Linked DNA regions of Drosophila melanogaster. The protein of the gene in region 2 interacts with the protein of the main gene of each other region in a pairwise test. Each region holds a gene or a part of one and is shown on either strand. Other genes may lie near its edges.

Region 1 (8,499 bases), on a different chromosome or scaffold from region 2:
CATACACATAAATCGCCTGCGAAGTGACCCTTGGCAATGGCGAAGGTAATTGCGTACTTACCGCTCTCAGCGGAACCTGAACCTAACCAAAACCAAGCGAACCGTAAGGTGGATTCGTATTCCCTCGATTGCGTGCCCGTTTCGGGAATAGATTTATCGTCTCGTTTGAAATCCGCACTTTATTTATGGTAGCTTGGCCACATTTCTTTGCGGATCTCCCACTCCAATACTTATTATTTATTATTCTATCAAACGTTACGTTACACTGTCAGCACCAGCACAATTCACTACGCGCACTTCGAGGCGATTACGAGATTTCGAGGCGATCAAGATCCGAGAGCGCTGGTCGAGAGGCACTACCGTACGGGGCGAACTCAAGAAAGAATCTGCAGCGGTGCAGTTGCTCTGAAGATTTCGGAGAAGACCTTCTTCGTATCGGACAACGTGCAACTTGTTGCACGCAACATGTTGGTCTGAGACGACTGCTAATACAAAATGTTCAAATACCTTACTTGATATTTTATTTATATATTAAGTAAACCTACTTTAAATAGGTTTAACATAACTTAACTTTAAGAAGTTTTTTATAGAGCAGAAAACTTTCTTTAATATCTTATGAAAAATAATATCTTCACAAAGTCATACGATCTCGAAGAAAACCGTTTCAGATTTGGCCTTTTATTAAAAACCACTAAGCTACATTTTGGCAGACAATAGTCAGATGACTTAAACTATACAGATTCATTAACACCAATGGATTCTATGTTGACCTGAACGACTAAAACAGCCTTGACCTACAAAACTTTTCCGACCTATCAACTAAGCTTATTAAACATGTAAATATGTTGTTCTATTCCTCGGGACGAGTCTCGCTGTAGAAGCCCAGATTCATTGTGGGAATCATGTTGCTGTAGAACGACAGTTCCGCTGCCGAGGGACGCACTAGCTGGGGATCCTGAACTAGCGGAGCCGTCATAGCCACTGGAGCCTTTTCGGCCATTTTTAGGGGTAAAATAGCAGCCTCTTGAGCCCGCTGGGCCATCTTGTGCTGCAACTGATGGACTTTGAGGTGATTCTCCAGCTCAATTTGATGCAGGAAGCTAATGCAACAGATTCCGCACGTAAAGCTGGGACCATGAGCCTCTAGCTCATGGCGCTGCAGTTGCTCGCGTCGGTTGAAACCTTGATTACATGTCTTGCAGGCGAACAGCGAGTCCATGTGAAGAGCTTGATGGCGTTGCAGGTCCCTCTCCCGTTGGAAAGTTCGATCGCAGACATCACAGTGGTAATAGCGTGAGTTTTTGGTTTGTGCGGCAGCCTTTTGTTTAGCCTGCAACGCCTGCTGCTGCAGATCACCCTCCATCGGGGGAATTAGACCCATTTGCTGCTGCTGCTCCATGTCCCGCCTGGTATGGACTTGCTGGTGGGCTATTAGCTTATCCCTGCGCGAAAACGAGTAGGGACAGCGTCCACATTGGAAAGCCTTTACCTCTCCGTGCGAACGTGTGTGGCGCATCATTTCCACAGCCGTCTGGAAGGATCGCGGACACTGCTGGCAAACAAAGGGCTTGACACCGCTATGAATGCGCATGTGCTTGGTCAGATTTGTATTCCGCGAGAAACTCTTGGAGCAAACGTTGCATGTGAAGGGCCTCACGCCAGTGTGCACGATTGTGTGCTTTTTAAGATCGGAGCGGCGCACAAAACCCTTCCGACAGTGAGCACACACATACGGACGGTCCGGATCATGCAGTGTCTTTATGTGCGAAATCAAAGCAGGCCGGGTAACCAGCTTGATGTTGCAAAAGTTGCAGCAGTACGGTGCGTTGGGATCGTGTGCAGCCAGCTCGTGCTCTTGACACTCGGCGGGCAGAGTGAACCCAAGATCACAGTATTGACAGAGGAACGCTCGTTTTGGCCGTGCCTCCGTGGTGTTGGCGTTGTTGGCAACGGACTGTTGAGCCGCCATCTGGGCCGCATCCATGCCCAGTGGCATGTCGACGTCTTCGCCGTTCTGGCCATCTTCCTCGTCCTCCTCATCGTAGTCTTCCTCCTCCTCCTCATCATCGTCGTCATAGTTTTCGTACTCCCCATCGGAGCCGAGTGCGAATTCCTCTTCACTGCTCTCTGCCAGATTCTCTGGATCAACTTCCACAATAATGCAGCCCTCCTCGGGTACGAATACTCCGGGGTTGCCATTCAGGCCTGGACGGTGCTTCGGATGATCTTTAATCATCTCCTTCAGCTGCTCCTGCAGGGACTGTTCCCGCTCCTGCATTCCTTTTCGCAGCTCGAATGCCTCTTCGAGGATCTCCAGACACCTTGAGCAAATGAGCTCCGACAAACATTCGTTGCGATCGTACTGTAGGTGGAGAAGTTATTCATGCACTTTTTCCATGGATTATAAATGGCCCACTCACCTGAACGCTCCAGAGACTCTTGGAAACCTCTGCAATGGACACATCCTTGCAAAACTGCACGGTGTCATCGAAAATGTTTAGCGAGTTGGGATCCGTATTATGGTGGCACAGGCGACAAGTGCTCACATCCTGATCCTGGGTCATGCTGATATCCGATGTATGCATTCTTCAATCATATGCATTTAAGCCGGGATTGCAATAAATTATCCAATTGTTTAAGCAAACAAAAGCCACACCGGTAGCAAATAAAACGCGTTGGTCAATGGCCAATCTACCACGATAGTATCGATATGTCGCGAAATTAAACAACATGGTCCAATCGATTGTCGGAGGAAATCGATAAGCCGCTGCACAGTGGGTTACTTAATTGAATTATAGGAATTTTTGAATATTTGAAGTTTTTAAATTAAACAATTTTGTGTTTTATTAAAGTTCAGATTTGTACCTTTCCATTTTAAAATACTTTTACTAAAATTGTAACAAAGCCATATCTAATACGCAAAATAAACGTCAGCATCTTTGGTAGCAAAAACGAAACTACTTATGTGTAATTCTTTGGGGTTGAAGTTTGATGATGCTCAAATTCAATAAAACGCAGTTTCTTTCTACACATTAAAAATTTGTAAAGCTGTTTGCATAAAATATAAATTATAAGACTTATAAGGCTCGTGTCACACTTTTAAATCAGAAATGCACTTACGATTAAAGCAGTGGGCGGCAGGTACCTAATTGATGCGTACCTATGTAGGTACACGCCGTGAACACGCGAAGCGAGAGCTTTTTCAATTGCCCGCGGACTCTTGATTAAAGCGGAGGTATTTTTCGAGTGCCGGCACTCTTTCGGCGAAAGCGGATGATTGTTTAAAAATCTGTGCGTACGCGCGTATATTCCTTTAACTAATCGGGATTGATTGCTTGCGCGGTTATTGCTTAATTGCAGTGAGATTTTTGGTTCTATTGAAAGTGGCTAATGTTCGTTTAGTGGAATTTATTGCACTGCAGATGCTGCAAATTATACTAGAACACACACACACACATCGGCAAAACAACTGTTACGCCTACGCAGCAGCGGCAACAACAACAACAACAACAGCAGCAAGGGAATTAGCAGCAACAATTTTCCACCCATAGAGGGAAATAACTGTTCCGTGAGTTTATACAATTTGGGCTGTATTTGTTGTTTTCCACCCACGTACTTTTTGTCTTTATTATGCTCCTGCCGCTTCTCCTTCTTTCGCTCCTTTTCCCTACCCACCTCCCCTCTTCCACTTCTTTTCTCTCCCATGCGGTTAGTGTGTTATTCCCGTCCTTAAGGAATAAAAGCAACAGCAACCCCGTGTACATTTATTGTTCTCTCCCCCGATGCACGGAGAGAAATTTGATTTTGATGTGTAATCAGGTTCAATTTTATTATTTAGATTATATGCATAAAATGATGAACTGATTGGACCACATTGCTAAAGGAAACACAGGGTTTTTTTTTTACAATTTTGAATCAACTACTCCAAAAACATAAACACCGTATGAATGATGATCGCAAATTTCAATGGAATAGTTTTTTTTTTCTGTGTACCTATCATCCTGTTAACCCAAGCTTTGCCCTCGCACCCTGTAGTTCTCATGAGTGTTAAATTTTCTGCCACCAAGTCCCTGTTAATTTTTGGTTATTGGGATTCCTCACTTTTCACAGTTGCCGTTGCGCGTATGAAAATGAATTTGTGCATTTATAATTCATAAATAGGACTATAAAAAAGAGAATTTATAATTTCATGAATTTACCGAAATTGGGGTCTTTAAAATGCGTCTATTAGCCTATTTAGGTAGTGATTTGTAGTGAGTTAGTAGTGAGTAGAACGAAAGCACTCTAGCGTATGCACTATCTGCCCTAAAAAGTTTGAACATAAAGATAAAATATAATTGCTTAAGTGAAATAAGCGCAAAGATTGCATTCGAGCTTAATGGTCTGATTAAAGTCCCTAGAAGCAAATCTATATGATATCACCACACCGAATTAGTAAATATCCTTACCCTACGAGACTTCTGCTAACTTAATATTTACACTTGCATACAATTACCCCTAAACATAGGGAACATGCCATTTGCCGGCCACATGAGAGTGACTTCCAATTTTGTGTACAATGAAAAACAACTGAAGATTGCTGTCCTAAACATTCCACTCGGCAATTAAGTGCTCGGCAATGATCATTCGATGAGGAAAGTCCAATCAGCAGATCAAATGAATCGGTGCCGTGACTCAAGCTAGGTCTAGTTCTACAGCTTAGAATCACTCTCCCCGTTGACTTTGAACTTGACTTGAAACGCTGACGTTAAATTGACCTGAACGGCAATTGGTGGCTGTGGGGGAGGTCCAGACCTCATGTCCGGACTTAAGTTAATTTCCGCGGCCGCGTCACATGCGTAGCAACTGTGTAACAAAACCATGCCCATAGTTTCCCAGCGTGAAATCATGCCACAATCTTATCAGTAGCCTAAAGCTTATGCTGCCTGAATGAATCGATGTTCCGCTGTCGCACACCGAACGCTTCGCTGAGATTGTCGTGCGTCGAACTGATACTGATAATGGGTGTCAAACCATTTACCCCCTTCGCAATATTAAAAGCAGGCGATGACGGTGGACATTGTAAACAAAAAGTCAAACATGTGCAGTAGATAAATTGATTTTAGCACACTGTCAGAAATGTAAATTTAAAACTTAACCCGTATGAGTACAAAGTGTTTTTCTAAAATTTCTTCATTTGCAATCCAGTAACTTGTAGGCTGTAAAACCATGTCGGTAATTTTCTTGTCATTCAACCCTCTAGAATAATCACAGTAAAATCAATTCCACAAATGGAGCTGAATATTTCTCTTACAATAAATGTAGTTTCCCATATCATTGTTTATTTTTCGTTGTGTACCAAGAACCCAGTAAGCGCAGGGGTATAAACTACGATAAATACGTGGAAATATTATCGCAAAGCTCTTGTTTTCTGCAGAACTAATAACATAAGCCATTTATGACCAATTACTGAGCCGCAATATCGAAAATCTAATATTGCCGTGCAAATTAAGTACAAAGTTGGAAATTATAATATGCTTTCGGAGGAACATGTGACATTCACAAGCGTTACACAAAAAATCAATGAAAATCCAAGGAAAATGGCATAACCATTAGATCTCAGCGCTTGTAAAATCCCAAATAAGAAGACTTTACTCGTTGAGTTTTTGTAAGAAACTGATTTTATTTGGAAATATCTTCGGTTTAAATAGGTGACATGAGAATCGCATCTTAAAGTAAATGGCCTACGCAGAGGCCTAAGTAAATAGTCCCCGCCTTATCGAGGTCCCACGCTCGGGCACATCTGCCTATCTTGAGCGGCGAGGACCTTATCTGTGGTCTCCCACTAAGGGACTATTTTAGGAGGCGGGGAACGATCTCAAGTGACTGACTCATGTAGTGTGCACTTAAATTACATGTTTTTTGAGCAATGCACCCATGTCGCCTTAGATAACAAAATCCTAAATATAATTTATCGCTCTCGATTCATTTACATAAGATATGAACGGAGCCCAAAATTGTAAGTCTTTAAATATATTCGTGTTCATGTGTGAACATTCTGCCAAAGGGCCAGCAAGCTGAGATGTACATTAGTATATTAGTTGCATTTATAACAGTAGTGGACTGTATTTATTTGATATATGTTCATTTATTTTGCAACTAAGATTTCAATGGGCCTAGTTTTTCTGGCTTTTAATTTTATTGGATTACAATTATGGTTTATATTATTTTTAATTCATCAATTTGTACTCAATTAACTTATTTTAAACATTTTGCTTTTTCTATGTAGAAGTACATTTTCTATTAAACAACGATATAGTGGACTGTATATTTTTATTTGTTATATTATTTTATTGTTTATTTACTATTGATATTTATAGTACTGGCAACGGACCTGCAAAGGTTATTGCTTGCATTCTTTGTTGCACAGCACATTTCCGTATGAAATATATTATTAATACTATCATTAGTATTAAAGCAATAATTAATCCAGCATGTCCGGAAATATGATGGAAATGTAAATCTTTCAATTTTTGATGGTTCTCTTTCATAAATTTAATTTCATTATTCAATCGTTCAAATTCCTCAGTATGATTTAATATTGATAGTTTCAGCGGATCCCAAATAATCTTCGGCGCTTCACTAACTTCTCCTATATAAGGTGTTGATAATAATTCTTCACTTTCGGACTGAATGTTATGGTGGGCAACTAGAATTTTATCGTCGGTTCTTGCCGTACAATATGGCGCAATGCTTAAAACTCCTTGCTGAGGCAAATCAAACAATTCAATTTGAGAGCCAGTACATTGCAGACGGACTTTTGAATTCGCAGGAACCTTAAACAACCAACTACTTTTCTTTTCTAACTCTACCCAGTAACTTTTAGAGTCGACTACTGTTTTATAGATGCAGTTCGCCGCTTTATCTGGCTTTAGAGGCTGAATCTCACATGCATTATCATTCGCTGAATTCCAGGGCCAACTTCCTTTGCATATTCTCTTATTTAGTTGCCATTTCTGACATTGATTTAATGTGGCTTCCGTCATTATGTGATAGGAATCTATCTCAAAATTATAAATTAAATATTCGGACGTTGTATGCACCATTATTATCCGATCTTCATTTCGAATTGGCACCGGAATAAGCCTGAACAATTTGGATGGATGCCTGCTAAACAGAGGCACTTTTGCACTAATGATCAATTTATCGTCGATGAATAAACCCCTGGCTGTTAACAGTGTATACACCTCCTTAAGTTCCGTACCTGACCGTTTTCCTGGAATTACTAGGTTCTCCGAAAGACTCTGCTGAATTTTGGCAATTTCTTTTTTAAGCTGATTTGGCCTGAGAATATTTGTATTTAGCCTACCGTGATTAATATCAATCAACAGGCTTATAATGCCTGCTTGAATTTTTTCGCCTTCTTCAATCAATGAGTGTAGCTGTTTCGTAATCATAAAGAATTTTATTGATTCCTTATAAACATAATAATTTTCTTTAAGAACTTCTGTCATGTTCTCAATTCTTATTTGCATACTTCTAAAATTGGAGTTAACATCTTCTGTTGTTCTCTTTAATAGATTAGAAGTTGAATCAACCACAGATGTTTGTTTTTGAATTAGTTTATCAAGGTTGTTCTGGTTATCTAACAAATTCTTCATATTTTCTTCTAATTGCTCTCTATCATCTTCATCCATTATACCAAATAAAATATGATACAAGGAACCCATAAATTCGAAAGGAGCACGCTTGCTTCTAGATCTAGACTGTATCATAAACAATTTATTGTTTTCTTCAAGTTCCGATAACTGACTTTGCATATTATCTAAGACTAGACTACATTGCTCTTCAAAGCTATGAAGTCTTTCGCAAACTTTCCTCATACTTTGTATAAGCGCATTACCCTTTGTTAACATTTTAAAATATGGATCCATTTTATAATAGATAACCAAATTCCAAGAAGTACTCACAATCTCAACATCTCCTAGCGGGTCTAGATATATTGCTGAGGTTTTATTTATTTTGTCTATAGAATATCTTGGTGCTATATCTTTAGGTAATGCGCTAGAAACTTGACAACTTAACACAAACAACAACATTGCCATAATGATTCCGATCTTGGACATTCCCGATGTCGCTCTAGTTCGTCTTTTTGGCTCTTGGTCAGCCTCATTTTTGTCAACAGACTTTATTCCTTCCAAGGGACAAATTTTAGTAATGGGTCTAGTGATATATCCTTCCTGCATCTTTACTTTAGCCACTCGGACCTTATCATCATTCCCCTTATGCACCTTTTCCACCTTTCCTAAAGGCCATCTTGCAGGATGACAATTCTCATCCTTTAATAAAACTATTTGCCCTTCTTCTATATTAGGAATTTCCTTTTTCCATTTATTCCTTTGCTGGAGCGTATGCAAATATTCACTTTTCCACTTAACCCAGAAATCTTTCTTCATTTTTTGGATAAGTCTCCACCTATCCAAATTTCCGATTTTTTCATCTTCCATTGGTTCGACTATT
Region 2 (7,954 bases):
CTAACGCTAAGAACAATCACAGGTGCTCAATGGTATATGACTAATGATGACATCCACAAAGACATGGAACTTCCCCTTGTTAAAGACGAAATAAAGTCAAATGCAGAGCGATACATAAGTAAACTACACGACCATGATAATGTCCTAGCACTAGGACTACAAGATGACACCAGCAACCGAAGGCGACGAAAAAGCTTTCATGTACTGGACCTGCCATATATTTTTAGAAATAGATAAAAATATGTAAATATGTATATATATGGATTGAGCTCACTGGAGCTCAATTCATACGGTGATAAAATTATTTATCGCTACAGATTGCAAATACAAAAAAAAAAAAAAAAACAAAATAAATAAATAAGAAAAAGCATTTCACCTGGAAGGAAATATTTCGGAGTGTAAAATATGTTTTGCATCTTTCCGTGGCTATTATTTGACTATTTTAAAGCAGGACTATGAAGTAACACAAAATAGGATATATAAGAAAACGAACGAAAGCAATGATACCGAAGTGCCTGAAAAGAAAAACCATAGAGAACCAACTTCAGATACCCGTTACTCAGCTAGTGTGAATGCAAAAGCGTAATTTCATAATTTTTCTAGGATATCGATAGATATTGGGGAATAAAATTAAATTTAAAAATTGTTAAAAATGTGGGCATGGTAGTATTGCGCGGTTTTAGGGCTGTAGAGTGGGCGTGGCAAAAAGTTTTTTGGCAAATCGATAGAATTTTACAAGACTAATAAAATTATGAAAAATTATCTAAAAATTTTTCAAAATGTGAAAAATGTGTGCCAACCATTTTTTTTTTTGCAAATCGATAGAAATTTACAAGACTTATAAGAATTTAAATAAATATCAACACGTTTTTCAAAAGTAAGGGTGTGGCAGTTTTGTGCGGTTTGGGGGCGTGGCAACATGGGTCAACTTGGGCTGCGTCTATGTCTCTAGAATCTGAATGTATATGTATCTCAACCTTATAGCTTTAATAGTTCCTGAGCTCTCGACGTTCATGCGGGCAGACGGACATGGCTAGATCGACTCGGCTATTGACCCTGATCAAGTATATATATATACCTTATATGGTCAGATATGTCAGGTATAAAAATATACTGACAGAATTTATAGACTGGTAGACCTTTATATATATATGCCTTTTGGGCATTATAAAGTAATAATAGTAATAAATAAATCAAGTGAGTTTCCCACTCCGATAAAACGTTTCACTGTCAAAAATATATATGATTAAGGCATTCGGCGAGCTCAATTAGGCCAGTGTTTAGCTAGCAAATTTCTAATCCTTTCTTTATGCTGAAACTATCCTTTTCTGAATATACTATTTGTAGCTACGAGCTACAGATTCTCTTATCTTTCACCAACTTATTTCTTTACACATTACACCTATTTTTCGGTTCCTTAAAAATAAAAAATCTATAAGCTCTAAATCAACGTTTTCGGGCGTTTTGATGGTTAAAGGAAGGGCGTGGCCAAAGTGTTTTTTGGAATACCTACAGAAATTAACAAGACAAACAATAAAATATGGGTCAACAAACTTGCGCTTTTATAGTTCATGATCGATTCGCTATGATCCTGATCAAGAACATATATATATACCTTATACATTCGGAAACGCGTTCTTCTGCCTGTTACATACTTTTCAACGAATCTAATCGTTATACGGTTATATTTCCTTTTAATTTGGCCACTTTGTAATTCAAAAAGCACACAGAAGAAACATTTATAAAATATAATAAAAAATAAAAATAGCGAGGATTAAATTAGCAGACTTTAATTTCGCCAAACTACACAATAATATATATATAATTTTTATCAATTGAACTCTCGATATATGTTGCTAGTCAAGTGTCTTTACCTGTGTAAAAATTAATTAGGTTACTTAAACCAAAACTGATAAAACCCATACAGGCGCATAAAAAGAAAAATAGAAGACCAAAAAATTCAACAAACCAAGTAAAATGTACGTTTTTTATATTTATGAGAAGATTAACTTATAATTGGTGAATTATTAATGTAGCTTATTAGCTTATTTAATCTTGTGGAACTCCTCCATGCATAGCTTGCAGCTCCAAGAACCCTCTGGTGGAGTCACAAGCGGTGGTGACAGGCAGTACATATGGTATCCCCGGTCACAATCGTCACAAAATAAAAGTTGATCGTCATTATCAGAGGTCCCACAGATGGAGCAGTACTTGCATTCAATGCATTGCCAACGATAACGTTTTACCGATATAATCATATTTGCCGTGAACTGCAGACACGATGGATGACCGGAACGACCACAGTCCGAGCACGATACTAGCTCTTCGGGCATATTGGTTTTTTTATTTTCTCGTTGATCTCCCAGACAAAAGTCACAATAAGGTGATGGTTGCGCTATGTCACGTTCTACACGTTGTTTGACCTTATTACCAGTAGCAAACACCGTTTGATTTGTTCCTGTTTGCACCGGATGCGCATTGCAAACATTTGAGGTTGTCAGGCCCGCGTTTATGGCAACCATTGTTGCTAGGGGAATTGAGTCATTGGAAGCTCCAGCATCGCTTGAAGTCTTATCGTACGACGACGATATGTTTGTTGGCAGTATGAGTCCTGACTGTGAATTGTCGTCATTTATGGGAATAGGCGAAGCTGAGTTGGAATGAGATGCATAGAGCCCAGTGCTAGCGACAGCAGCTGCAGTACATGCTGCATGTGCGACAGCGGCGGCAGCTGCCGCTGCGGCTGCGGATGTATTTGCACTATTTCCACCGGCTCTACGTTTTCGATCAGATTCTCCCTCAACGGCGTTCTTTCGACGATTGCCTAGGGTATCAATAACGTTTACAATTCATCAGCTTAATAAACTTGTACTCACCACCACCTTTACGTCCCCGTTTGGGAGTACCCTCTACGTTTGCATTTGTTCGTCTAGGACGCGAACACTTTTTGCGTTTGCCCCGGCTGGTGTAAGACTCATCAAAATCGTTATCTGAATCAAAGTCATCCTCAAATTCATCGCCATGATGAAAATGTGATGTGTCCATTTCATCGTGGAACCATTCTTTTTCGACGTTTGCATGTGAGTCCTTACTATCATTATCTCCTGATGCTCCCATGGAGTTGCCATCCGTAGCAGCAATGGCTGTAAATAAAAACCCATAATAAATATAAATGTCAGATGTATAAAATATTGACTTTCATCCGACGATAAGCTGCAATTTTTTACCTGCGCTTTCAGCTAAGTGAGGATTTTGTGGTACAGCAACGCCAGACGAAGGTATATGATGGTGATGCTGATGCGTTTGATGGTGGGAGTGCTGAAGGTTGTGCTCGCGATACTGATAGGCTCGGAAACTTTGATTCGGGTTAAGTAAGTACTGACGTTTTGGTTTGCGCCACCGAGACGATGGATAAGTGTATATCTGACCATGTCGAAGACCTGGCATTCGCTGTTTTTTTTTCATAAAGAGGGAGCAATGTGTCTGTGCGACACCTGTCTGGGGATCGAGGAATGGCATGCGAAGTCGACGTTCAATGCATAGACGAGTGTTGAAATTCTCGCTGTTTTCTAGAATCTCCTTGTACTTTTCCTTGTCATTTAAAAAGTTCTGAATTTTTTCAAAATTGGCAATGTTTACTACCAAAGTTTTTTCGTACGCAGATTTGGAAGCCATGTTGATGCCGAGTGGTAGCCGCAGGAATTATTTGGTTAAGCAATAGCTAAACTAAAGAGCTAAATTGTCAACATATTTTTTTGTCATTGATAAAATTTATGTTTCTTCACACACAATTCAAGCTGATACAAATAACAAAATATAGAATTGTTATGGGGCACTAGGCAAGAAGTACAAAATTAAATATTTAGAAAAGGTGTGAACGTATTTCTATTTTAAAATAGATACAAAATGTATATCAAAGTTCTCGACCATAGTTATAATAAGTTATTTCCACAAGTGCTCCCTAATGCGCAATTCACAACTTCTTGATACGTAACAATAAGTTAACATTAACAATAAGTTCTGTAGCAAAAGTTCTTGATCCAGTGCTAAGAAATAAACATTGCATTAAAAGAATTTATTTATTTTTTTTTGTTTTTATACCATTGATGCTATATTTTTTAATTCCGAATTTTTATCGCATTGAAGGAGAATTTTCGGAGTGTGAAAGTCTCTTAATGCTTAACGGCTGGTCATATCGTCTCGAATTAGTCATGTTCAAAATGTACTGAGTTTGACTTTTAAATAGTTATTCAAAATTTTTTTTAAGAATATATGTTATTTATCCAATTTAGCCATATTGATGAAAATGATAAACATAACCCTCTTCATGAAAACCACTTCTTTATTTCTATTCACACTGGTGAAATTTATTCAGTCGTTTTGAATTTGACAATTCTATTTGAATTTTTTGATGTAGATGTATAGCAAGTGTATTAAAACAAATACAAAAACATTTAAAACACGAAATCAACACCGCAGGGGTCGATAGTTAAATCGAAGTTTTAAAGTCTGTATACATTAGATATAAATTTATTAAAGATCAATCATTCGCCAGAAGTTAAACCATAGGCGTTGGATCTCATTAAATTGTACCGCAAACTTCCTTGACAAGGATACCATCTGCTCCATTTCTAAACCCGCTACTCGTAGACTAAAAGGGTACACTGGATTCGTTAAAAAATAGGTAACAACCCGAAGGAACGGTTTCTGATCACATAAAGTATATATATTCTTGATCCGATTAATAGCCGAGTTGAATTGGCCATGTCCGTCCGCATGAACGTCGAAAGCTCAGGAACTATTAAAGCTATAAGGTTGAGATTAAGCATGCAGATCCAGAAGCATTCACAAACTGCTTAAGACTGCCAGGCTAATATATTAAAAAAATGTTTTGATATTTGTATATTTTTCCGTTAGTTTTGTAAATTTCTATCGATATGCGAAAAAAAAGTAAACGTGTCCGATCTGATAAATTAAGAATTATAGATCAGGATTATTCTTGGACGCTCGTACCAGTAAGTGTATATTAAAAAGTTGCCAGGATCATTTATTGGGCAACAAAATGTAGCGATAATAATCGGAAAATCGTCTGTATCCGTGGAAAGTACTGATCGAGACCAGAATGGCGGGATTTTGGCTTGGATACTTTCAACGAGTGTATAAAAGGCGGAACGCTGGACGAAGGCAGGCACGAAAACAAACAAAATTCTATGTGCAGTACCGTGAAAATGAAAAAACGGTATTTTTAAGCACCTCAGAGTTCCACGCTAAAGAGTTAGCCAACCACAGGGGCCCGCCATGAAAAGCAGCCGAAAAAAATTTTGGCCTCAAACCTCACATATGTAAATTAACTTTTTGCGGTATAAATTATTTTAAAAAATAATTTTTTATTTTTTAGTATTTTTATTGGTGTTAAACTTTTCAACTTATCACTTTATTACAAGACACTTATTGTTATCTATTTATACACTAATAAACCGTTCTTTTAATCCTCCCGAATCAGACTGATCTTCAAATTCTGAATCCTAATCCAATCAACCTCGGCCAGAAGCTTTTCTTTGACACTTTCTGAACTTTTGATAAAAGCTTTATGCTGAAATTATTCCACTGCATTGTGAAATTCAATTATGCTGATCGATGCAGTTTTTGATTGAAGCGTAATAAGTTGGCCGTGGTTTGGTCTCCAAGCGGAAGCTGTGTTTACGTTAAGTTTGGGTTATTTACTTTAGCGAGTAGCTAAGCGCTGGCAAAGGCAATGACAAAAACAAAGACAAAGGAAATGCCGACGAGATTGAGAATTGAAATTTGTTTATAAACTGTGGAAGGGTGCTATGTTTATGGGTTGGATAACTTGTACATCGAATGTACCATACAGATCCACAATTCATCACCCTTGAAGAACATCACAAAATCGTCGCAGAGCCTAATTGTTTCGGCTGCACAGCCGACTCTCATGACGGTGATCTCTCTCCTAAAAATTCTAAGCGATTAAGATTGATGTTTTTAATCAAGGCGAGGAAATATCATCGCTCTTTCATGAATTGCCGACTTCTAAGCTAACGCTTTCAGAAGTGCGCATCGGAACATGCAAAAGCATTTCTCAGCTACTAGCTGACAGCTAGTGTAAATGGGAACGAGAACATTTTTTTCTGGGATATCAATAGATATTGGGAAATAAAATGAGAAAAAATTAAAAAAAAAATTTCTTAAAGTGTGGGCGTGACCGCTTCGCGGCAGTTTTGGACGGTTTTAGGGAGTAAGAGTGGGCATGGCAAAAATTCTATAGAAATTTACAAGACTAATAAAATGATGAAACAATTTTGAAAAATGGTTCTAAGGTGTGTGAGTGTCAGTTTTCTGTGGTTAGCGGGCGGAAAAGTGGGCGTGGCCATATGGGTGAACAGACTTGCGCTGCGTTTAGAATCTGTATGCTACTCGGCTATTGATTCTGATCAAATACATGTATACTTTATATATATATATTTTTTTTCTCTCTCTTCTTATTTACAATGTGTCTTAAAAAAGTATGATAAGTAAATTTATAATTAATCGTAATCACAAAATCTGTGAAATTAAAATGCAAAACGAAATTCGTGATCAACGTCAACGTGAAATAGACGAGCGTCGGCTCTCTTCAATCAAAAACAACGCGTATTTCTCGTTCGTTTCTACGGAAACGCTCAAGCCCTTTCAAGACCAGAGAGCGAACTCTTGCTCTCCGTCGTTGCCAAGCACAGTTCCAAAATCTTGGAAATCCACAATGCCGCAACCAACAACAAATTACACACATACTCCGTTAACCATTGTAGGCAAGCCTACAATCCAAGTGGCCGCCCGAATTCGGTCATGCAGACTGGATCGCTACGTTTTTGCAAAACGTCAACGGAGTCCGCAACGTACAACAGGTAATAGAGCCAAAAAAAATTGTGGTAGCGAAATAAAAACTACTACTACCAACAATAAAAACATGATTGCACTGCTAGCAGAAAACGCAAGCGAGGAAGCTAATAAAACGACAGATAGGATATCTAAAAACCAAAGCCTTCACCAATATCCAAGAGATTACTACGAACGCTAGCAAATAAAATAGTTCGGATAATAATAATAATAATATCGCAAACAACAAATGTCACGTTATACCTCTAAGAACCGGAAAAATTAAAGAAACTAAGCTTCAGGTCAAAACCGAAACCAGTTTCATGCGGTTTCGAAGTTTTTAAACAAAAACGGAAAAAATATTACACGTACCAACTCAAAAGCAGTAAGGGCTGCAAGTGGTACTAAAAGATATGTGGCGCCCAGACTGAAGCCCGGTCTGGCATCACGGCGAAAACAGGTACTAACGCCAAGACCTTTCCTGGAGGACGATATCTTCTGATATCGTCAGACTGGACACACTAAAACTTCAGCTCCGCGCGCAACAAGCTTACGGCATAAAACAACAAGATATTGTACTTAGTAATTAAATAAAGCGGTAACTACATAAGTTACTATATTGGTGACCCCGCAATAAGCAAAATGCAGAACACCGGAGATTGTTTGCCTGCACCGCCCACTTCGCCTGACTCTGGTGAAATTCAACGCGGCAACAGCGCAGGCACCGTTATTCCTGTCGTCGAGTCGGTTGCCACCATCAAGCTACCGCCATTTTGGAAGCAAAATATGCGGTTATGGTTTGTGCAGATCGAAGCGCAATTTCAATGCAGCCGCATTTCTTCAGATAACACGCGCTACTACCATTTAATCAGTGCTTTGGATGCTGATATAATGACTGAAGTATCTGATGTTCTGGCGCAACCCTCGGAAGTAAACAAATACGAGCACCTGAAGGAGATTATTATCAAGCGATTTACGGAATCGCCGGACAGACAGTTGCAGCGCGCTTTACTGGAGCTTGACCTTGGGGACAAGAAGCCCTCGCAGCTCCTTCGGCAAATGACAACACTTGCTGATG
Region 3 (8,194 bases), on a different chromosome or scaffold from region 2:
CATGAAAACCTTGGTCAGTTCCTTGACATCCCGCAGATGACGAATTCGCAGCGCCGCAAATATATTGTCGATGCGTACCAGGCATTTTTCCTCCTCGGAATACGGTTCAAGAATCTTTAGCAGACGCTCCTCGATGAGGAAACCGCCGCGATCGGACAGCTTGCGAATAAGATTACGCATCAAGCGTAGTGAATCCGGCGGAAGCTCCTTGATATCCGGCTTGCAATTTACGCCCGAGTTGGGCATCACCCTGTTCTTGGGAACCCGGCCAATTCGCATGTCAAACTTCTCCAGAATGTTATTGCGCTTTTTCTTCGCCTTGTTGATGTTTGGAATGGGTGGCACGGGGCTGGACCACGGCATGGCCAACTGCTGCTCGTGTATGATGCGATCGATGTGGTAGACCCGATCCACCAGCAGGTTCAGTTCCTTGTAGTTGATCTCCCAGATGCGATCGAACTTTTCGCGATTGTTCAGCCTCGCCTGATGCGCCTTCGACTCCATATCGTTGATGTTGGAGTGCAGCTTGTAGATGTCCGAGGAAAGACGGGCTATGTTCCGCTTGCCCGTGTTGTAAAGATTCTTCAGGCCACGCCGGGTGCGTCCGATCGCCTCATGCAGTCGGGCCACCCGTCGCTTCTGCTGGTTGTTAATGATCACGTTCTCCTCGTTGCGCTTCTGGAGAACCTGATAGTTGTAGTCCAGCTTCTCGGAGTTCATCAGCACATTGTCGCGCGTGCGACGTAGCTCCAGCTCGAGCCTCTCGCACTCCTTCTCCAGCCGAATGCGAGTGCTCTTGGTCAGCTCCTCCTGGGACTCGTTGATCTGCTGGGTTTGGCGAGCATAGAATTGCTCGCGTGCCCTTACCAAATTGGCCTTCTCGTCAAAGTTGGCATTCATCGCATCGAAGAAGGTGCGCCACTTCTCCACCGCATTATCGGCGAAGATTTGACGCTCCTCCTCGATGGTTTGCCGCAGCATTTGGATGTGCTCCTTGTAGGCCTCCTTAAGCGTCTCCACCTGGTGATCAACGCGCTCCACCAGACAACAAAGATCCTGGGCCTGCCGCTCGCGATCGAACTCGTACTTGGCATTCATGCGGTCCACCTCCGCTTGGCAGGCAGATATCATCTCATCCTTGCGTGCCATAATCTCGGCAATGCGTTTCTTTTGCTCTTCGATTTGGTCCCACAACAGCATCGGCTCATTGGTCTCCTCCAGCTCCGTCCAGCGCGCCTTAATGTTCTCGAAACGGGCCATTGTCTCAACGCTTTCGCGTTGCAGCTTCACATGCATCTGATTCTTCTGCGCACCCTCGAAGAGTCGGCGATTCAGCTCCCTTCGCTCGTTGGCCACCCGGACATTGGTCACTAGTTCTTTGCCAAAGCGCACCAGTTCGTTCAATCGCTCACTGGACAACTCCAGCCGTTGATCAATCGGCGACTTCTGGGCCTGGCAACGTTCGGCGACGCCTTTCGGGGCCTCGCGGAACTGCTGACGCACCCGGTTGAGTATCGCCAGCCGGCGTTCGTCCAACTTCTTCACCGACTTGTCGCATCGCTCGTTAAAGATCAGGCCATCGATGCGGTCATTAAAGGACTCCCAACTGTCCACTGGTCCCAGATCGGGCTCCACCTCCTCCTCCTCCTCGACACTGCCGTCGCTGACCAGCTCCTGGTGCTCCTCCAGCTCATCCTCGTTGTCGTCCATTGTTTAAAATATATGCCAGGTCGAGATTTGGATGAGAATCGCTTTGTTGTGCGGAATTTCTGAAGGCAACTCTGCTCCAAATCAAGGTGGTTTGTTGTGTGACTGGAGAAGTTTGATCGAAGGATCCCGGGTTCCCTTGGTTTCGTGGTCATTGCCCATTTCGCCTACTTTTCCGGTAGAAACAAAAATGTTGTCTTTACGTTTGTTTACTTCTGTTGTCAGTGGTGCCCGCCCCATTAGTGTTGCAAAACAAGAGAAGTGCAGGCTTAAGCAAATATACATGATCTTTTTTTTTAATAAAAAGTGTCTCATGACTGCTTTACCATATTTTGTCAATAATAATTAACAATAAATCATTGAATAATACGTATTTAATACATAAAAGTCTATTTAGTTTTGAAATTAGTTCATCTCCACCCGAAATAATCGTTATCGAAATGGAGCAATAAGTGCTGTAGCTAAAGTTATTTCCTTCTCACTTCCTCCTGCTGTATAGCCCGTGCTGACGTCACCGGGGCCTTGCTAAATGCAAAATGAGTGGAAAATTCCATTGCCAAAACCGCAATGACCCCTTGGTACAACCAAAAGGCGCGATGTTTGACCCCTTGGTTGCAATCAACAGTCCGAACTTGATGCCCTTTAAAATACAGCCCTGCGGATTTGTACACACTGGGTTGCATTCGACCAAAAAACTTGGTACTGCCATTCAAAAACAAAGTCAAGCGAATGAATTCTTTACATGATAGTATTTAATTGCGACCTATATATGTACAAAATTTGCGCGGAGTTGCGGCACTCAGTTATCCTCAGTCTTCAAGGTGATTTCATATATCAGCTCGTCGTTGTAGTCCTGCCCTCGGCCATGATGCTGCTGATGCTGCTGGTGATGCTGTTGGACAGCGTTAAAGTACTGATCCTCGGTTAGCAGCTCATCTAAATCCTCACCGCCATCCTCTGCGTCCACTGCGTTCTCCACCAGCAGGTGCTGGTCATCGTAATCCGATAGCTGCACATACTGTTGCTCGCTCTCGTCCAAATATTGGCGATTGGACGGCGAACCCTGCTCCTCTGGTTGATTGTCCTCAACCAACAGGCCGTCATCCTCGTCGTACTCCTCCTGCAGTGGGCCCATGCCGTCGTAATCGTCGTCCTGGCCATTCATATTGCGACCGGAAATGGATTCCGAATCGGATCCTTCACGATTCCCATCCGCATTCACAAAGCGACGCGTATTGCTACGGCACTGAATCGAACGCTTGTGGGCATCGAAGTAGCTGATGTCGGTGAACTCCTCCTGGCACAAATGGCACACGTATGTGCCCTGGCTCAGATGCATCTCCTTACGATGACGGGCCATCTTGTGAGCATCGCGACACTGCATGCCACAGAATGGGCATTTGAGCATCCGCCGCTTGCCCATGTGAACATTGCGGATGTGCTCCTGCAGAGAGAAATTCTTGTAGTAGGCCTTCTGGCAGTACTCGCACTGGAATCGCCGCTTCTTCTCGTGCGTCGCCTCGCGATGCCGCTTCAGCTGGGTATTCTGGGCGAACGTCTTGCCGCACACTTCGCAAATATGCTCCTTCTCCAGATGTCGGCGCTGATTGTGCACGCGCAGATCCTGCTTGGTCGAAAAGTATAGGGTGCACAGTTCGCAGACGTATGGACGGATGCCCATGTGGCGCCGCGCATGTCCGGCCAGGTACTTGCAGTCGCGATACGTTTCCGTGCAGTAAATGCAAGCATAGCGATTGGTGCCAGGCACCAGATGGGTCTTGTGGTGCTTGGACAGCTTTGATTTGTGCATCACATCTGGGCAAATGCCGCACTCCACCGGCAGCTTCTCGTCCATGATGTCGCTGATCATGGAGAACTCCACAAGGGGTGTGCTATCCTCGTCAAAGTCCACAATGGTGGCTATCAGGTCGTCGAAAAGCATGTAGCGACGCGGTCCCTTGAACTCCTCCAGCATCTTTTCGCTTGGCTTCACCTCCTTCACGCTACCATCATCGTCGTCGTTGTTTTTTTGGCTGACAAAGCTACGTAAGGCGATCTGGCGGGCAGAATTTCTAGCTTTGCTAGCGGGCTGGACAACAGGCGACGGCGGCCTTGGTGGCGATGGTGGCAGCGAGGGTGACGACGGTGGATACATATCCAGATCCTCTTCCACCCTTTCGTTATCGCGCGGATGGCCGTAGCTAGGTTCGTGCTCGTAGTCGCCGTAGTCGCCATAGTCCGCCTCCTGTTCCATCTCCGGTTCCACCTCCACCAAATCCCCCACTTCGCTCATATCCAATTCCCTGACCACAAATTGCGGCATCTGTTCGTCATCCGTCAAATCCTTCACCCGGGAGCCCACTATAAAGTCGCGCAGCTCCTTGCTCATCAGCATCTCCTTCTCCACGCCGTTCTCATTGACGATGATGATGTCCTCTTCGAACTCGTTGCCCAGGTTGTCCAGAAGCACGTAGGTGGCATCATCGCTAGTGTTAATCACACGAACGTTTCCACGGTTGTCTTCGTCCGAGTAATCGCTATTGGCCGGCAGGACGAATTCGATTACCTCGTTCGCAAGGCAGCGTTTGTGGCTCATCCTGGTCACATCAACTGAATTAATTAATTAATTCGCACGACTGCCGAAAAAAAACGTAAAAAGTTGCAAGTGTGACCAGTCGCAGGTTGCTGGCCGAAACTAACTATCGGATACCAGGTATCGATGCAATTTTCAACAAAATACTCGCTTTGTAGAAATGCTTGCTTCCTTCCGCTTTCATACATCGACTCACTCTGCGTAGATCATAGATCATGAAAATCCAACATTTTGAGCTGTAAATGCCACTCGATTTGAAACTTTATTACAAATTCAACGAGGTATGACATTCCATATATCGACCAATATTAATTTTGTTTCGATCAAATAACTGCTACTTTTTGAAAAGAAAAACGAAAATTCGAGAAATGCGAATACATCTATTCGAATTTCGATCATTGCCTGTGTGAAACGTGTATTTTCTTTACTAAAATATATATAATAAATAAATTAAATATTGTGCCGATGAATAGATCGCAAAATATCGATACATGCGCATTATCGATAACGCGCAATTTGAATAGGTGCTTGCGCGCCAAAAAAAAACATCGCTGGGCATGCGCGACGTCGGCCAACGTCTTTTGCCGCTTTTGGCCCCTTCCCTCATTGTTGTTGTTGCTGTACTGACTGTTTTGCGGTCTGCGCTCGCGACTAACTTGGCTAACTTCTGGACTCGGAATTGGCCCGGTGCATTGCATCTGCACACTCGGTGGCGCGCGCTTGTCTTCTTGAGACTTCTTCAATCCAAAACGGGCGTGTTTCGCGATCTCATCCACTTGTTCAATAGCAGTTAGTGTTTTGTTTTTTTTTTTACGGTGTTTACTGTTTCTGTTCGTTGAGAGCGTGCGAAGTGCGCGCATGCGTAGTAGCTGATAATTAACCAATTTGAAAATTGCGGTTCTTCTGCTTTTTTTCGCAATTCAAATTGACCGCATAATTGCGCAAGGAATGTGATTTTTTTTACTGTTTATAATATAAGTGTTATAGAAAAAGAGAAGAAGCTCAACGCGAAATCTTAAAGAATGCTAAAATTGGGATGATGAAAGGATATTAAATTCGTTCTAAAAGGTAAGAATAATATCAGTTATACATAAAAAAAAAAAACTATGTCAAGTTACAGTAAAAACAAATGGTTAAAAAAATATCACACTTAGATTTAAAGAACTTATCTGTGCGATTTAGAATAAGGACCAACTGAAAGGATCGTATAAGTTTATTGACAAAAAAACATCTATACAATTGTAACCACACATGTTATATTGAATAATATCTCAGTATATTAATTTGTAAGATTAAGGACTAAGGACATAAGCCCTATGATTTTGAAATAACTCAAAACGAGTGAAGGGCACCGTCACTTCGAAAGATACAAATACATACATACTTGTATATTTAGTTTTTAAGTAGAGTCCAAGTTATATTGTTAATTGGGCTGATTACAATGCCCAGTCAAGTTAATAAGAGATGGGAATCACAAATACAAATAGAGAGCACAATAAGCGAATAACCAACCATACTAGCTGCCAGCTAGTAACATCACAAAATAGGATTACGCAAAGTTGCAAACGCATTATGTTGATGTTGATTTAAGCTTCGGTGTTTGCCTTTATCGCATCTATTTATTTATTTATTTGTTCGCCGTGCTGCAACATCTTTAGCCCGGTAGCCCCATGGCTCCATAGCTCCATTGCTTTATAGACTCCATCCAATCAAACAAATATGGGACAAACTTGACCCGCTTTCGTCGCGGATTTGGCATCACATCGCATCGCATGGCATCGAAAATGGGCAGGGAAGGGCTACCCCAGATTGGCCTCTCGTTTATTTGGCCATTAAAAATTACATAAAGTGACAGCGTTGTGCCCCTTTCCCTTTTTCTATTAGCCCTACAATTGATTAAAATCATCAATATTGCTAGCTATACCTTTAAATAGTTATTTAACAATTGAAGTACAAAATTTCCAGTTTAGTTAACCCATTTAAACACGAAAGCCCAGCAGCAACAAGTACACACCATGCCCCCCCCCCCCCCCCCGTAATTACTTGACCCAAAATCATCGCTATGCTATGTATGCAACTAATGCATTTCCATTTCGCAGACAAGATTCTCGAACTTGGACTGGGAGTAGGCCAATTAAGAGTTAGCCACGCGGCCGCACGAACAGGTGTCGTCGCTTCCAACACAGCAACATCTAGTGACAGCAGCAGCAACATCCAAAGACAGCAGCAACAAGTGGCATCATTATCGTTTTGCGGTTTTGATCATCGGCGGGGCGGTTTGCCGTTGCCACTGGTAGAAAACGGGAAATCGGAAACATGTTCTCCTCCAGCGCCTCGGCCGCGTCCACATCCTTCAATCTCGGCCAGCTGCTGCCATTGGCCATCGCCATCGGAGTGTTGCATCTGCCGCAGTTTCTGTGTCATGCTGCCTGGACAACCAGAACGCCGGAAAGTTTCATTAACGATACGACCACCACCACCACCACCACCACCACCACCACAACCAAGACCATGCAAATCCAGGCGATGCAGGTGAACTGCAGCCGGGAGCTGCTCGAGATGCATCTGGAGTTGAGCCGTCCCTTTCGCGGATTACTCTACGCCAAGGACTTTCCGCTGGAGTGTCGCGCACGTGGCAAGGACTCGACGCGTCTGCATCTGCGCATCCCAACATCGGGTTGCGGAGTGAGGGCAGAGCCACTGGAGGACGGCAGTCTGGAGTATACGGTGCGTGTGATGCTGCAAAAGGAGCAGAAGTTGCGCCAGAGCACCGACATCCTTAGCTCGGTGAGATGCCAACTTCCGGCCAATGCGATGGGCATGCCACTTCCGGTGTTGCGACAGGAAAAGGGTCACGATAGGTAATTCTACAAATGCTTTAGTTAATGTAACAAGATGGAGAAGTTCTTTTATGATTCGATATATATATATATATATATGTAGAAATGCCAGGATGCGAGCCTTGGCAGCTGCTGCTGCAGTTCCAGCTCTCGGCGCCACTTCGTCCATCAATCAACAGCAGCGGGAGACGCCACGCGTTAGGATCTGGTTAGAATTGGGCGGTCCCAATGGCACCGGATCCGTGGAGGTGGGCGTCGCCACCACGCTGACGGTGAGAGCCATCGTGCCCGGAAACATCGGAGTGCGGGTGGTGGACTGTGCGGCACTCGATGGACTGGGCGAATCCACGCAGCAATTACTCGATGCCCGCGGCTGTCCCATCGACGAGCAGGTGAGTGAAGCGATCAGCTGAAGCTATCTATCTATATGCATATGCATATATATATGGACGTATCTGGTGGATCGTTCATTTGCGTAACAGGTGCCGGCGGCGCGACATTCTACGCCAGACCAGACCGTTAGAAACTTAACTTGGATGCGACGAGACGAACGGAAAGTCATTAATTAGCCACGATCTCGATGCTGTGGGGCGATCTGCGATTGATCGCATTTAACTTTCATTTTTATGTGCGACATCTAGAGGGTATCAATCTAGAGGGTATATCGGGCCAATCGATGGGAAAAACAAGTGGGAAAAACAATCCATTCACAAAGTTCGCTTAAGTTCATCTGCCAAATGATTTAAGCTGCCAGAACTAAAGTATTTCCAAAATTTTAAAAAGAAATATCATAAAATAGTTTTCAGTCGCATCAACTTCACATACCCTGTAAATTTCTATGGGTTGCGTTTTAGAAACGTTTTAAGTGCATTTTGAAGACGACGAAAATGTAAAACAAAAGCAATTTGATTTTCGATTCTTTGCCACTGATTTCTTGATTGCTGCGAAAGGGAAATCCAAATAGATGGGACAACCTATTGATTGGAAGTCTTTCTTGGGATATTTTGCCGCCAAACAAAAAAAGATACATTATCAAAACTAAGCCTGGCTCATT
Region 4 (8,686 bases), on a different chromosome or scaffold from region 2:
TGTTGTTCGGCATTTGCTGGCATTTAATTAATTAAAGTAAATCACATTTCGGCCTGCACAGCGACTGCACACGGGTAGACATCATTAATCATTGAAAAATTAGCGCACATTTCCGTTCACCTTCAATAAAATTAGATTCGTTATGAAAGAAAAAAAACAGCCGCCGCAACTGAAACCGAGAGCAAAGGGCCCCCCAAAGTCTATCAAAAAATCCATTGCAGGTGGAGGGGGTCAAGCTTCACAAATTTTTCCGACTTTCAAAATACAAAGAGTTTTTCGAGGAAGCAAAAATATTTCTTTAGCACTTTGTAAATGCTACATAAATACTGAAGAATTATATTATATTTTAAGATAGCTGTTAATTTTCTGCAAAAAACACTGTGATGCATTTAATTTAAATTTCTCAATTTATTGCTAATTTTTTTTCTTATTTTTTTTTCCTAGCCATTCCATCAACTAACTAACTAACTTGTAGTAAACGTGCTGAGTGTCCACAATTGTTGTGTGGTTGCAAAAACCCGTGATTTGTGTGCTGATAATGTTGTACACCTGTTGAACAAAACAGGTGCTGATCGTTTGTATGATGAATTTGCATATGTTGTCAGCTAGCTGCAGGCAGCTTAATGTGCAACATCGAGTGTTTCACAATGTATACAGAAATGGCCGAACATAACTTTAAATACCTGTTTCGTTTTCTATCTAGTTAACTGCTGAAAAAAAAAAATTCCCAAAAATTACGCCAATCAATCTAACATCACACATCCAAAAAGCCAGCGATTTTCTCTTCCACTTTGCATTTAAAAACCTTTATAATATGTATATATTTTTAGTGGAATCCATCAAGTCTTTCAAAGACCCAGCCCCGCTGTTTATCTCGTCTCAAAATTCAAATGCCATACAGAAAATATATATATAAAAAAAAACAATCATTTAATTAACAGACAACAGCAAAAACGCAAAGGGAGTTGGGAATTTGGAATTGGGGCCGCCAAAGCTTCCGCACGCCATAAAAAATAATTTCTCAAATTAGTTGTCGCCTCTGAAGAACTATATCGCACTCTTTCTTTCTCTCAGGCTCTGTCTCGTTTTTTATCTCGCACCCACACATACACACTCAGCTGGGTGTTAACTTTCTAAGCTCTCGAGATTTATTTTAATTTTTACCTTTATGTTTTCGAGTGTGCACATAGATTTCCATATAGAAAGTAAATGGAATTTCGCAGTATTGCCGACGTACTTGCTAATCATTTGTATGCCAAGACCCACATACACATACACATTCTTGTGTGTGTGTGTGCACGTGTGTGTGTGTGTATAAGTACGACCTACGAGCAGCCACATCGCATTGTCAACGGGCAATCAGTGAAAGTTAAATCGAACAATGCATTTGCCTTTGTCGGTCCCCAAAAGCTCCTCCCCCCATCGGTGCCACTCCCCTCCCCACCCGTCTTCACCTCTCCCCCTCTCTCTCCCTCACCCCCTGGGGGCAGCTGTCAGTCGCACCTGTGTGTGTTGGATGTGGCTGCTGCAGGTGCCATTGTTGTAACTTCACACTCCCGAGAAGAAAGTGAAAAGAATCTCGACGAGCAGGGAAACAACACGAAACATAACTTAAAAGCGTACGCTCACGCACAAGAGAGGCAGTCGAAAAAAAAAGAAAATACGAAAATAAGAAGAGATTTCAGATGAAAAATGGCAAAAGGGCGAGGTAACCGATAGTCGATTTAATTAAGGTGCGTGTGAATTAGGCGTCCAGGTAGCCACAAACCATCGATCAAGAGGCCTTTTCCAACATTCCATTCAAATGAATTAACTTTGCAAAATACATATTTCTTTTGCCATAACATTTGATAAAATACTCCAACTATGGAATGTGATATATCGTTGTGCTCGTAATTCAATTTCCAATCAAACTGTATTCAAAAAGAAGAAAACTTTTTTTTGCCATTGTTTGTAAGTTTTGAAAATTTTGAAAACATGCGAAAATTTGGCCAAAAATTAATTTTAGAAAATCAGTTTAAAAGTGAGAGGGGTTGTTAGTATTGGTTGTAAGGAGTATACAATGGTACTTCTTTTTGCTCTGTGACCATTTTTAGTCAAGTTATACCCAAAAAAGCCAACATGAAAATTCAGTTTTTTGCCAAAAATAGTTTCCAGATTTTTTGTGAAAAAAATAATCGGTTTTTCGATCATAACATTGGAATAAATTACCCAAATATGGAATGTCATACCTCGTTGAGTTTGTTTTTTAAATTCCAATCGATTTGCATTCAAGTTTGGGAATTCTAGGATTTTTCAATTTTTTGCAAATTTTGATGATGTTACCCCTTACAAAAAATGCGAAAATTTGGCCAAAAATTAATTTTACAAAATCAGTTTAAAAGTGATAGGGGTTGTTAGTATTGGTTGTAGGGAGTATAAAATGGTACTTCTTTTTGCTCTGTGACCATTTTTAGTCCAGTTATAGCCAAAAAAGCCAAAATGAAAATTCAGTTTTTTGCCAAGAATAGTTTCCAGATTTTGTGTGAAAAAAATATTTGGTATTTTGATCATAACATTGGAAATAATTACCCAAATATGGAATGTCATACCTCATTGAGTTTGTTTTTTAAATTCCAATCGATTTGCATTCAAGTTTGGGAATTATAGGATTTTTCAATTTTTTGCAAATTTTGATGATGTTACCCCTTACAAAAAATGCGAAAATTTGGCCAAAAATTAATTTTACAAAATCAGTTCAAAAGTGAAAGGGGTTGTTAGTATTGGTTGTAGAGAGTATAAAATTGTACTTCTTTTTGCTCTGTGACCATTTTTAGTCAAGTTATAGCCAAAAAAGCCATCCTAAATATTGAATTTTTTGGCAAAAATCGTTTCTCTCTGTATTCTGATCAGAACATTCGATAGAATGATCCACATATCGAGCCTGGGGAGTCAATTATAGACTTTGAATCATAAATCTCACTTTTATAGTCAAGGGCCCATAACGCGTTTATCAAAGTCAAAGTGGTTTGATTGGATAATACGATATAAGTAATTCGTGGTCTGCAATTTGACTTGTACTCACTTTGAACACCATTATCTGCAGTGAGCATTTGCAACTGCATGATTTCGCTTATTGAATTTGTTGCACGACTTAAATGATCAGGTAAAACTCAGTTGACCGAATGATTTACTTGACATTTTACCTCGTCTACAATTGCTCAAGATGACTGCAATGATGAAAATAATAATGGAAATGCATATGGAATATCAGAGGCTGCAATTTTCAGTGTGGCATTAAATTCCTTCACTTCAGCGAAGCGCAAAGACAGCAGCCAGATGATATGAGGGAAAATCGGGGGAGAGGGGCCAAAGAAAAGCTTAAAATGTTGGAAAACTCGTTTCGTCTCGGCCAAAAGAAAAATGCAGATAAAAATAAATAACGAAAACGAAAACTGAATAAGAAATGGCATCTTCTAGGGCAGCAACGAATATGGATGTACCCTAAAATAAATCATGATACGGTTCGCTTGAAATCCCTTCGAAAGTTACAATTTAAAAGATACTTCTTCGCTATCCAGTTTACCAAGCCGATTGATTAAATCACATATAATTGTATTATAGAAATTAAGTACTTTTAAAGTCTAAACAAAGGGTAATTGGTTTATCGCTACCCAAGAGCTGCTAACTCTGGCGAAATAGGTGAGACGAGAAGTTTTTGTGCGGATGGTGGTAAGTCGAGGAGGCCCCAGCGCGTCCAAGAATTTTCCTAGCCAACATCTTGATTGTGCCTACATCAACTGGGACTGCGGTCCCCTTCGAGCCTCTCGAAACTTGATTTCAGCGTTGTTTATGAATTTGTTGGCCATCAGGAAAGGCAGCAGCCGGAGCATAACACACAGCCACTGCAAAACACTTTTGGCCAGGCTGGGACTAAAGCCCCGTAGCTGAATGCTAAGAACTGCCTGATGATGCTGAGCCTGGGTGAATGGTCAAGTCATAAATAAAAGATCTTCGGCCAGCATTCTGCAGATGTTGTCTCTTTAATTACCCCCAGCACATATCGCAGGTTCTTGTGAGCGGTGAGCAAACACACACGTTTAATAGACCAAACCTAATGTGCAGCCTGATGACAAAGAGCCGTTTTCCAACGTCTTCCGCTTTTGGTACCAAATTCAGGCCAAAATCAACTTAATCCGCATTTCTATGCGATTCTCACAGAGCATAGCTAATTAGATGGCAGAATCTCATTAGATTGCATAGATTTGCCAGGGCTCTCTATTCACGAGCTGTCATAAAGGTTTTTGGTTTACTATCAATCTTAAGATGTTTTTTTTTGGTCCAGTTCTACGAACTCATGCTGCATTTCAAAATAAACCCAATTGTCTTTGGTTTTCACCATGTTTAGCATCGTTTCACATATTTTCACCTGTTATTCTACACAATTTCCCTCACACTTGGTGACCTTCCATCCGGCCCACTGGCCCCCCAGCTGCACTTTCATCTCAAGGGTGACCCACACTAACTCTCTGAAAGAAAGCTCTCTCACGTGCTGGTATAAAATTCATTCAGATCGCGCTCATCTTTTCATAGGCCACAAATTGGCCTGGCCAAAATAAATATGCGAGCTGTGTTTAATTTGCCGTTAACTTACCTCATAAAACAGTGCTTATATTTTAGTGTCTCGTTCGAAAAGTAATTAAAATAGGCACTTTTGTTTGATTTTAACAGGAAAAAAAACACTGAAAAGGGACTGTTTATACTGATTGTTAAGTGGCTAAAACAACCAACTTCTTTGAAACACGCGCATAAACTAAAAATTAATAACAAAAACAAAAACACGCGGGAGAAAGAGGAGAAAATAAATGTGTTGATTGTGGCATAAAGGGGGATCTTCTGAAACCGGTTTTTGTTCAACTTTTATGAGCTTTTCACAAATTGTAGCTTGTTTTTTAGCGCAACTAAATAATAAAACATTTTCGAAAATGTACAACTTAGTCGGGACACAGCACCTGAAACAAAAACTGAACGACGTCTTCGTTAAGTTAGCGCGCAAGAAGTTCGCTTTTAGTACATTAGCCAAGAAATGAACCATAGTGCATTAGCTAAGACACCAACCGGTACTCAAAATATCTCTAAGCAATTCTGTAACTTTAAATTTAACTGAGTGATAACAGAAAAGGTAAATAAAATTAACTGTGATATTTTGTAAATTTAAAAAAAATGGAAATCTTTTTGAAACTGGTAAAACCATTTTTTAATGCTGTGCTCCTCATTACAGTTTGCTTCTTTATTTTTTTATTGTCATCGGATATTGTATTGTGTTTCTATTTGCGTATTTAATTTTACATTTTGCACTTGCATTTCGAAGTTAGAAATTGAAATTATGATTTCATTTTGAGCTTTCCCTCCCCATGTTCTCGTGCAAAAATATTTTCATTTTTAACAATTTTTAACTTTCTGCCATGAAAATGATAAAAGTTAGTCAATTTTTTGTGCGCGATTGCAAGGATTGTGTGCCTGAGGATGCTTCGCTCGAAACTTTCGAATGGCACACAGATACTCGCACAGATACGCACGCACTCACACATACACATACAAAAAATGCCCGCGGCTTAACGCTGCGCAAAGCCAACCAAAAACTATGAAATTTCTATCTGGTATATATGCATGCATGCCAACTACAGTGCATCCTTGAAGTTGATACACATTTTCTGCGAATCTTTATTGTTAAATATGTATGCACTGCAATATAGTTTTATTTGCCAATACTGTCATAATCTTCCAAAAATAAATAAAATGTTAACTTAAGAAAACACACACATACCTGTTCGTTTTGCGGAGATTCCACTGTTTTTTTTTTTGTGGGGCCATTTGTGCGTTTCAAGTGAGGCTTCGCAAACGAATGCCGGAAGTTGCCTTTCGAATGCAAAATGCAAATTTAAGGAAAAGGAGCATCGTCAGGGGGGGGGCTTTGGTTTTGGTATGGGGTGTGCGATAAGGACACGCTGATAAACGAACTTGAACATTTTTTGACAGTTGTGCGTATAAATCTTGAAATGTTTTAATTTGCTTGCGAATCGATTTAAAGCGCACAGCAACGAAGTGCAAAAAAAAAAACGCAGCGAAAAATGGCAAGACAAAAAATGGTTGAAAAACGCAAAAGAAGCGTAGAGCAAATGGCAACGTAGTCCAATGCGGCAAGCAACATCGTTGCGTATGATTTATGAATGACATTTCAGCTCTTCAATATCCTGCAAGCATTCGGGCAATGGTGAATTGCTGATGCAGCTTGATGACTTAGAAATACAAAAACCTTTCACAAGATTATTTATGAATGCAGTGAAATAGGTGAAGTTGCATGATATTGCATAGTGTTTCGAAAATAATCTGTTTAATCTTTTAATATTTAAGCTAGTGTTGAAATATGAAGAATTTTGTAAATAGTCAAAATATTAGGGTATTCCAGTGCTCGGCTACCAGCTAAGCATTTTTTTTTTCGTTGTGTGTGGAGCATCGCGAATTAGCCAAAAGCCGTTGCCAATCTCAGTGTCCAGTGCCCAGTGTCCATTGTCCCGCTGTCCATTTGTCCGGCTTTTGGTCATGGTATTGGAGTTGGAGCTGGAGCAAGAGCAGGAGCAGGAGCAGCAGTAGGAGTGTGGGGTGTTTACCTTTAAAGCGTCGCTGCTGGCTCGCCATTTTTTGCCTGGTTCTTTTGATTTTGATTTCGGCCTCGCTTTTGTTTTCATTTTTCCACTGGCGGCTCTGCTTCAGCGCGCTGTCGCTTTTTTAGTGCACCAGTCAGAGTCACCAGCCCAATCTCAATCGCAGTACCAGTCCCAGTCCCAGTCGCAATCCAAATCCGAATCCGAATCCGAATCGCAATCGCAATAGCAATCCCAATCTCAGCCAGTCGCCAATACCAGAGATTCCGATCCAGGGCCAGGCAATTCCATATCATATTTTTGCATTGACCCCGGTCCGCAGTCGGTTTTTTGCTCTTGGCGTTTATAGATTGAGTACTTTATCAAAAAAACGAGACATCAAAGCGTATATCATGTCAGCTGCAGACGCTGGGCCAGGGATCCCCCTTCTTATTTTCGTTTTCCCCTTTTTTTTTTTTTTTATTTTTTGTGTGTATGTGTACATATATATATTTTTTTTTTGTGAGCCTGGGGATTGCATTTGCATTCCGCCTTTGTCCCTCTGCCGGTCACCATAACTTAGCCAATGGCCCGGCTTGGGCGCCATTTTGTTTATCTTTGTCGCAAAAGGAGTCGATTCCCCACAAAGTTGGTCAAACTAAGGACCAGACTGAAGTTCCACACACAAAAATACATATGTATATCCGCAGGAAGTTGAAGCTTGAAGTAGCAAATGATAGCTTAGCCATTATGTTTGCGTTCTAAGATGTGTCATATTAACTGGAGATGGGTACTTCATATACATCTACTTCTTTAGTTTATGAAAGATTTGATTTCCGTTGCAGTCGCATTAGCATCGTGCACCATGCCCTGGAATCCCATCCCGTATCGATCGTCGGGCATCGCTAGTGACTCAGTTTCTGGCTCGACGACTTCTCCCAAAACGATTCTCGTTCCGCCGATTTCGATCTCTTGTGATCATGGTACATTGGGTTTTGGTTTCCCAAATGAGTTGCAGCGGGCGAGTGGCGATGAATGGAACGTCAGAGCGTTCGAATCGCTGCTGCTGCTGGCATGAATGGACCGCTTTTGTGTGCGGCTACAGTGGGCACACGCAGCTAACGAAAAAGCAATGAATTGTATGTTTTTTTTTTTTAAAGTAAGTCAGAAAGTTTCCAGCAAGTTATTCTACTATTTAGGCAACCTAAAATGTATATGAAATACTTTTCAAAGATTTATTTAGCATATTTCTGAGAGGTTCCACTTTATGGAGGCTTCTGCCACTCGTAGGCGTCGAAATCGCTTGCCAGTCATCGAGTGGGATCGTTTTCTCCACACTCTCCCAGACTTTTTCCAGTTTTGTTCCCTTTTTTTTCTTTTGGTCTATCAAGCGTGTGGGTGGCATAAAATGGGGTGGAGCCATGTGCCAGTAAATTAAGTGGAGTTTGCTTAGATTTCTGATGAATTTATTTTTGCAGCGTTGCAATGCGTGTCATTAGCATAAGTTGGAAGCGCACTTATATTATGACATTATCAAAAGTACAAATGAAGACAAAAAACTTCGGGAGATCGGCACAACTAAGGTGTCCGTTGATTAAGCCTGATTTATTGGACGAACCGAAAAGCGTTTACACATTTGTTAACTTTGACGAGCAGCCAAACAAATCGCTCTATGCAAATGATGAACGTCGAGCGGAAACGGAAAACGAAATGCTGGCCAAAATGAGAAATGCCACAGATGGAATGAATTGAAGTGGAGTGGACCTGAACCCGGTCCCCCGAATATGTATCTGCATCTGTATCTGTATATCTGAGCCCGAACATGGAACTCAACTAAACTAAAAACTGATGGCACCGAATCACATCAGACAGTTCCAGCCAGCCAGTCAGCCAGCCAGTCAGCCAATTAATATTTTGTTAATTTCGTTTTAGGTTCCGTGGCTCGTGTCTGCATTTAAAGGTATTTTTGTTTGCATAAATAAGCGGACGGACGGCGGAGAACTGGCAAACGTCAAAACTTTTAAAATTTCAATTTCCGGTGCAACGGCAAAACGGCCAAGATG

The links.
Region 1: the proteins of d4 (region 2) and prg interact in a two-hybrid assay, tested with the Drosophila melanogaster proteins (one large-scale study listed by BioGRID).
Region 3: the proteins of d4 (region 2) and CG2116 interact in a two-hybrid assay, tested with the Drosophila melanogaster proteins (one large-scale study listed by BioGRID).
Region 4: the proteins of d4 (region 2) and CG12075 interact in a two-hybrid assay, tested with the Drosophila melanogaster proteins (one large-scale study listed by BioGRID).

Annotation. Positions count from the first base shown.
Region 1 is NT_033779.5:8,458,696-8,467,194, reverse strand, and holds prg (piragua), read right to left. Parts: upstream 2,708-8,499; 5' UTR 2,586-2,707; coding exon 2,421-2,585; intron 2,363-2,420; coding exon 851-2,362; 3' UTR 501-850; downstream 1-500. UniProt on the Drosophila melanogaster protein: May be involved in transcriptional regulation. The function of this protein is unclear.
Region 2 is NT_033778.4:5,289,986-5,297,939, reverse strand, and holds d4 (d4), read right to left. Parts: upstream 3,878-7,954; 5' UTR 3,676-3,877; coding exon 3,228-3,675; intron 3,144-3,227; coding exon 2,877-3,143; intron 2,825-2,876; coding exon 2,046-2,824; 3' UTR 1,975-2,045; downstream 1-1,974.
Region 3 is NC_004354.4:8,126,028-8,134,221, reverse strand, and holds CG2116 (uncharacterized protein), read right to left. Parts: upstream 4,411-8,194; 5' UTR 4,304-4,410; coding exon 2,507-4,303; 3' UTR 2,439-2,506; downstream 1-2,438. Other genes in the region: CG10958 (uncharacterized protein), read right to left, coding at 1-1,710; cyr (cypher), read left to right, coding at 6,617-7,161, 7,244-7,532.
Region 4 is NC_004354.4:8,834,432-8,843,117, reverse strand, and holds the start of CG12075 (uncharacterized protein), read right to left. Parts: upstream 4,796-8,686; 5' UTR 4,634-4,795; intron 1-4,633.